2 linked regions of the Ovis aries genome follow. Each later gene encodes a partner of the first gene's protein in a complex. Links are inferred from orthologs where the notes say so. Each region holds a gene or a part of one and is shown in the gene's direction. Other genes may lie near its edges.

Evidence for each region. The genes of interacting proteins can lie anywhere in the genome.
Region 2: TAF10 (region 1) and TAF13 share a complex: the UniProt entries of both Homo sapiens proteins name them as parts of the TFIID basal transcription factor complex. The link is inferred for Ovis aries from reciprocal best matches to the Homo sapiens genes TAF10 and TAF13.

What each region holds. Positions count from the first base shown.
Region 1 is NC_056068.1:46,195,595-46,198,928, forward strand, and holds TAF10 (transcription initiation factor TFIID subunit 10), read left to right. Parts: upstream 1-1,362; 5' UTR 1,363-1,387; coding exon 1,388-1,619; intron 1,620-1,757; coding exon 1,758-1,912; intron 1,913-2,148; coding exon 2,149-2,213; intron 2,214-2,301; coding exon 2,302-2,416; intron 2,417-2,599; coding exon 2,600-2,689; 3' UTR 2,690-2,770; downstream 2,771-3,334. Other genes in the region: ILK (integrin-linked protein kinase), read right to left, coding at 3,001-3,150, 3,320-3,334. UniProt on the Homo sapiens protein: The TFIID basal transcription factor complex plays a major role in the initiation of RNA polymerase II (Pol II)-dependent transcription.
Region 2 is NC_056054.1:86,377,712-86,382,089, reverse strand, and holds the start of TAF13 (transcription initiation factor TFIID subunit 13), read left to right. Parts: upstream 1-1,455; 5' UTR 1,456-1,499; coding exon 1,500-1,526; intron 1,527-2,321; coding exon 2,322-2,400; intron 2,401-4,378. UniProt on the Homo sapiens protein: The TFIID basal transcription factor complex plays a major role in the initiation of RNA polymerase II (Pol II)-dependent transcription.

The sequences.
Region 1 (3,334 bases):
CTTCCTGTGCCTGGCTGAGGTCCAGAATTCTTTCAAAACTCAGCTCACCTCTTGTGAATCTTTTGGCTCCCTGAAGCTAGTTGATGTGGGTATGACAGAAAAGTCCTAGATTCTTGGTTCTGATATAGACTAGAGAGAGCCTGGGGGAAGTAAGTTCAACTCTTGGAGACTTTTTCCTCATCTGTTAAGTGAGGATATTGATACCTGCCTCTAATATTCAGGAAATCATTAAGTGGAATAAACTTAATGGAATGCCTAACACACAGATGTAGGCAGCAACTATTAGTTCCCTTCCTCCCTTGCACTGCACACCCTGTGTCTACCTCCAGTATTTTAACTCCCATATATTGGTGAAATGGCAAGTTTAACTGTTAATGCCTCCCTTTGCAAGACCACTGGTGCCCGGAGGAGTAGAACCTTCTCCTACTTAACTCTGTATTTGCAGACCCTAGCTCAGGACTGACAAAAATAAATTTTTGCTGTGTTGAAAACCCCACTCTTTCACTAGCCGTGATTTTACATAAATTGTTTATTAAGACTGAAAGACAGCCATCCCTCTGTATCCTCGGGTTCTCCATCCACAGATTCACCCAACCGTGAACTGAAGATATATATATTTTTTAATTCCAATTATAAAAGACGAAACTTGAATTTACCATGCACCAGTAAACTATTCACATCGCATTGGATATTATAAGCAATCTAGAGATTATATAGAGTATACAGTGCAAATACTATGCCATTTCATATAACGGACTTGAGCATCCACGGATTTTGGTATACATGGGTTGGGGACGGGAGTCGGGGGAGTCCCGGAACCAATCCTACCAACCCTTCACCACCTATACGGACGGTGGACTGTACCTCTCTCCCCATCTGCAGCAGCACTGTGTCAGCTGTCCGGTTACCTTCACTTTGGGCAGCTGGCGGGGAAAGAGGCTATTCAACTCCACTACAAACCCTTAAAAGGCTGGATAAAGGAACTTAGAAAAGATGCAGACACGCAGGCGACCAACAGTAGAGAGGTGTCGGGGCGATGAGCATCAAAGCAAGAATTTTAGACGTCAGGCTGGGTGAGGGGGCCTCAAGCCCATAGAAGAGAATCCTCGACATTGAGGGGTTCCCATCCCAGCGGATCCACACTGGAGAACCGCGGGTCCGGACGCGAAATGTCCGCGCCAGCCCAGTTCCGCAACACTTGGTCTCCGCCCTCCCGCCTTTGTCAGGTAGCGGCTGGATGGGCGGGGAATAAAGGAAGGAGGCCTAAGGGAGGAGCGAACGTGGCGTGGGAGGAACGAGTCGTGGGGCGCGTGACGTCACCCCTGGTGTGTGCGTAAGGTGAACGGAAGCGGAAGCGGCTCTGTTCGCCGCCTCTCCCACCGGCCCGATGAGCTGCAGCGGCTCCGGCGCGGACCCCGAGGCGGCGCCGGCCTCCGCCGCCTCGGCCCCGGGCCCGGCGCCCGCGGTCTCGGCCCCCGCCGCGCTGCCCGCCGGCACCGCCGCGGAGAACAAGGCCAGCCCCGCGGGGACGTCAGGGGGGCCTGGGGCTGGAGCCGCGGCAGGGGGCACTGGAGCCGTGGCGGCGCGGGCCGGGGAGCCTGCCGAGCGGCGCGGGGCGGGTGAGGGCCGGGACGGGTGAGGGCGAGGGCCGCGCTTTGGGCTGGGCCCAGCGGCGGGTGAGGGCAGAGGGTAAGACACACCTAGCGGAACCCTCGAGCCTCCCACCTCCGTGTCTCAGTTTGCTGGTTTTCCTCCAGCTCCAGTGACGACCGGCGGCGCGGCGCCCCCGGAGGGGGCCATGTCTAACGGGGTTTACGTGCTGCCAAGCGCGGCCAACGGAGAGGTGAAGCCAGTGGTGTCCAGCACGCCTCTAGTGGACTTCCTGATGCAGCTGGAGGATTACACGCCTACGGTGGGCTTCCTGCCTGAACAAGGCTAATGACTCGCTGTCACGCCAACTTCTGCCACACCATCTGGATTTGCAGCATCCTCTTGTGTTTCTCTTCCTAGCTTTTGTGATTTTTCCCTTCTGCCCACCCAAACTGGGAGCTTCCTGATAGCCAGGCCTGCCCTCCATTTCCCTTACCCCGACTCTCAGCCCCGCTGTACACAGGGCTAACGCTTACAGTCGTCTAATTGATTTCTCAGATCCCTGATGCAGTGACTGGTTACTACCTGAACCGTGCTGGCTTTGAGGCCTCCGACCCACGCATGTGAGTAAACTCTGGGCAGGTTAGAGTGTTGGGTGTTTGTGTGGAGTTTATTGTCTATGCTCTTCTCATACCATTTTTTTCTCTCCAGAATTCGGCTCATCTCCCTAGCTGCCCAGAAATTCATCTCAGATATTGCCAACGATGCCCTACAGCACTGCAAAATGAAGGGCACAGCCTCTGGCAGCTCCCGAAGCAAGAGCAAGGTGTGAGGGGAGGCTCATTGATTCAGTAATTACTTCCTACAGCAGCAGAGGCTTAAATTATCCTGAAACCCCTTTGAGGGAAATTAAGCCTTAGGGGAGGTGAAAGACCTACTCAGGGTCACCTGCCTGGGATTGAAATCTGGAATTCCTGTGTTCAGCTGGTGCTCTTCCCTCTTCCCTCAGGACCGCAAGTACACTCTAACCATGGAGGACTTGACCCCTGCCCTCAGCGAGTATGGCATCAATGTGAAGAAGCCGCACTACTTCACCTGAGCCACCCAGTCTAAATGTACTTGTCTGTTCTCTTGTCCCCACACCAGCCTGTTTTCATAATAAACTTTATTGTGACAGGCAGGGCTGATCCCTCCCATGCTGGGAGACACCGTGTGGCAAGTGACAAAGCTTTGAGCCCATTCCCTTTTGGGGCCACAGTGGTAGGGATGGGGGCAGGGGATGGGCCCCATGGCTGGGGTAGTACCATGACTAGTGGCAGGGGAGGCAACCAGAGGCCTACTGCTTTGGGGAGGTGCACTCCCCTAACCGTGTCCTGACACCTCTGGAGTTCAGATAAGGACTTTCCAGCTCTACTTGTCCTGCATCTTCTCCAGGATAGGCACGATCATGTCAAACTTGGGCCGCTTAGCAGGGTCTTCATTCATGCAGATCTTCATGAGTTTACAAACGTGGGGGGAAATGCCTGGTGGGATGGTAGGCCGAAGGCCTTCCAATGCCACCTGCAAACACAAGGAAAAACAAGGTGAGTCTCAGAACTTGAGTCTCATGTCGGGAGAGACGTCTAGCCCTCAGGACAGGATTCTGTGTATTTGAATCAATGTGGCAGGAGCCCAGCCCCACTACAATTATTGTCACTACCACCACAAGTATATCCAGTTATGCTCTCACCTTCATTCCAATTTC
Region 2 (4,378 bases), on another chromosome or scaffold:
TATGCAGGTCAGGAAGCGACAGTTAGAACTGGACATGGAACAACAGACTGGTTCCAAATAGGAAAAGGAGTACGTCAAGGCTGTAATATTGTCATCCTGCTTATTTAACTTATATGCAGAGTACATCATGAGACACGCTGGGCTGGAAGAAGCACAAGCTGGAATCAAGATTGCTAGGAGAAAATCACTAACCTCAGATATGCAGATGACACCACCCTTATGGCAGAAAGTGAAGAACTAAAGAGCCTCTTGATAAAAGTGAAAGAGGAGAGTGAAAAAGTTGGCTTAAAGCTCAACATTCAGAAAACTAAGATCATGGCATCCGGTCCCATCACTTCATGGCAAATAGATGTGGAAACAGTGGCTGACTTTGTTTTTGGGGGCCCCAAAATCACTGCAGATGGTGATTGCAGCCATGAAATTAAAAGACGCTTACTCCTTGGAAGGAAAGTTATGACCAACCTAGACAGCATATTAAAAAGCAGAGCCATAACTTTGTGAACAAAGGTTCGTCTAGTCAAAGCTATGGTTTTTCCAGTAGTCGTGTATGGATGTGAGAGTTGGACTATAAAGAAAGCTGAGCGCCAAAGAATTGATAATTTTGAACTGTGGTGTTGGAGAAGACTCTTGAGAGTCCCGTGGACTGTAAGGAGATCCAATCAGTCCATCCTTAGGGAGATCTGGCTGTTCATTGGAAGGACTGATGTTGAAGCTGAAACTCCAATACTTTGGCCCCCTGATGTGAAGGGCTGACTCATTTGGAAAGACCCTGATGCTGCGAAAGATTGAGGGCAGGAGAAGAGTACGACAGAGGATGAGATGGCTGGATGGCATCACCGACTCAGTGGACATGAGTTTGGGTAAACTCCGGGAGTTAGTGATGGACAGGGAGGCCTGGCGTGCTCTGGCTCATGGGGTCGCAAAGAGTCGGACACGACTGAGCGACTGAACTGAACTGGACTGCAGCCCGCCAGGCTCCTTTGTCCTTGGGATTTCCCAGGCAGGAATACTGTAGTGGTTTGCCATTTCCTTCTCCAAGGGATCTTCCCTACACAGAGATCGGACCCAGGTCTTCCACTGAAAGCAGATTCTTTACCATCTGAGTCACCAGGGAAGCCCTGGCAATAAATCATAGTGGAACTCTAAGTTGTTCAAATTGTTTAAATTCACCCCTGTCTAGCCCCTCAATGATCCAAAGCTTCACAGGACCGAATCAGGAAGCGGAGATCTGATACGCAGAAGAAAGCTCAAGGTGACAACGAGATACACGCCATCTAGCTCATCCCTTTTCTATGCTAATGTTTAATTCCTACTTTCCAAGACTTTATCCTTCGCTGTTCAGGTTTCACCGCTGGGCGGGAGGTGCTTGTTCCTCTTCCACAGGGGAGGTTCCGCTAGGCCCCGCCCCGGCCCCTCTCGTCACCGGAAATGAGGCAGCGGAAGTAGTAAAAAGCTCTCCGAGGAAGGCGGGCGCGCAGTGGAGGCGGCTGGCTGGTGGGATGGCAGATGAAGAAGAGGATCCCACCGTGAGTGACCGCCTCTGTTCCAACCTACTTTTTAATTTACTACCTCGAGCACAGTAGCGGAAGCATAGTGGAGAATTGGGTTTCTTTACCTCAGTGATTCTGCCGAGAGAATCGGGGACTTCTCCCCGGGCTAGCCTTTTTCTTCTGATTCATCCTTTTAGTAAGCGGGGCTGGAGGAGTAGGTGGCTCCCCGCCCTTTACCTTTGGTTCATATTTGCCAGATACCCTTTGAATCACCTAGAGAATCATCAGGGGGCAAAGCTAGTGTTTGTTAGGGCTCATTATGCAACAACAATTCAAGTGCTAAGAAAACTGTACACTTTACTGTAAAGTAGTGGAAAAATAATGGACTCAAGTCACTGAGCAAGTAATTGAGCCTCAGTTTTCATGTCATAAAATAGGCTTAAGGTTTACTTGAGGAAAGTTCTTAGCACTGTGTAGGAAATGCTTAACAAATACTAGTTTTGCTTGCTTTCATTCAATATCAACTCTTTTAATAGTAAAACTATCTAGAAATAGGCCAACTTAGTTTAAAAAAAGAATGTATGGTCGTTGGAACTCCCCCAGGAGAAGCAGTACGATGCCTAACGGGGCATTGTAGAAGCCACTCCTGCGTGAGTCTGAAGTTGGGCGAGATAGTTTTAATGCCCCCAAAATGCTAAAGTTTCATTGTTTTTTGCTGCTTGCTTTAGGCTTTCTGGCATGATACTGGTGTTGAAGATGTAAAAAAAAAAAAAGCTAATTATTAAAATGTCAGAAGCAGTGTTTGACATATCTATACGTTTTAACTTTCAGTTTGAGGAAGAAAATGAAGAAATTGGAGGAGGTGCAGAAGGTGGACAGGGTAAAAGAAAGAGACTTTTTTCTAAAGAATGTAAGTAGTACTTGAGAATGATTTTTTAATAGTTTCCTTGTAGGGACACTATTCTCAGACTTCCGTATAAATTCTGTTTAACCTGTGATTCATAGATAGTAATGATCCTAACCCCAATTTATATATTTAACCCCAATTTATATATTTATATATATGTGTGTATATATGGGCTCACACAGACATACGTTTTTAAATTTTTTAAGTAAATACATGTGATCAGTGTTTCAATTCAGGTCCCAAGTAAGAACGTACCTCCGTTACTTTACCTGTTCCTTACCTTTCATCAGTTGGAGCAGGGACTCCTTTGAATGTAAGCCGAAGGTTCTGTTGGACCCTGAACAGGTCTGAGGGTAGGAATTAAGTTGGGACTTTGAACTAAGGCAATGGACAAGGCAGGAAGATGGTGAACAATGTGAGGCAGTCCAGTGACATGGAGATCATAAAGTTTTGGGTCTATTCTCCTCCTTCAGTAGACGGGTTTGACCTTTTATGGCAGTGGCAAGAGGAGCTGATTCTATTACTGATGATTCAGGCCAGCCCCTGAAAGGCACCATGAGAACATGCTCTCCATCTTCCAGTCCTGGTCCTTTATACATAGTTATGGCTGAGTGTAGATCAGGCAACACATGGAACACTTGGTTTACTTATGCCAGTTCCGACATAAGCAGTTCCTAAATGCTCTTGAAACTACAGAGTCAAGTAGTTTGGTTTTTTAAGCCATTCAAATCCTTTCCTATATCTCAATTTCTCACCTAAAGTTGACTGCTCATTATTCCATTTCTGATGTTATTTACTCCATTCGTATATGGTTTTACGTCTTATGGAGACTTCCCTGTAGCTCAAACAGTGAAGAATCTGCCTGCGAGGCAAGAGACCAGGGTTCGATCCCTTGGTTGGGAAGTTCCTCTTGAGGAGGGAATGGCACTCCACTCCAGTATTCTTCCCTGGAGAATTCCATGGACAGAGAAGCCTGGCGGGCTACAGTCCTTGAGGTCGCAAAGAGTCGACACGACTGAGTGACTAACACAGTTACTTCTTAGGTAGGCATAAGAGGATTACTGCACCAGAGCATCGCATAGTGATGCTAGCATACTTCTTACCAGAGCCTTTGTTCCACTTGGATTTCTTTATTTTTATGATGACAAGAATTCGGAATCTTCACAGCTGTTTCTTTGTCTTACCTGAATTTTCATGTATCTTGACCAAGATCTGTTCTTCTAGACATTCTTTGTTTTAAAAATATTTTTTGCTAATATAACACAAGATTTCAAAGCATTCACTTCTCTATTTGTTTGTCTTTACAGACTCTTTAACCAAATACGGTTTACATACTTCCTATCTAATAAGTTTTTCCTTTTCCAGTGAAGTATGTTTCCCTACTGATGAATTCTCCCCATCACAATGTTAATGACAGTATTTTCCTCAAAATATTTAAGAGAAAATATTAAATTTATAGTGGAGAATCCAGTCCTGGCAGACATTACTTTAGTCAGGTGATCAAAGTTAGTATCACCAGTAATATATGTTGACATTAGGTACTCCTAATATGGTGCATTAAGGGGTCCATCATCACTCTGATTCCCTTCTAGTAATGCATAAGCACAACCTAATCATGAGGACACATCAGATAAACCGAAGCTGAAGGACACGCTACAAGATAACTGACCAGTATTCTTCAGAAGTGTCAAGGTTGTAAAAGACAAGGAAAGTTTGAGGAACTGTTACAGAACAGAGGAAACTAAGGAGACACGACAACTAGTGTGGGATCCTGGAACAGAAAAAGTACAGTAGTGGGAAAACTGGTGCAATCTGAGAAGTGCTGTACTTGTACCAGTGTTAGTTTCTTAGTTTTGATAAATGTCTTTGGTTGTGTAAGATGTTAACATAAGGGGAAACTGGATATAGGGATTCTGGAACTCCATGCTATTTTTGCAGCCCTTTAAATCTGAAATGACCTTAAAAAGATTTTTTTTCCAGA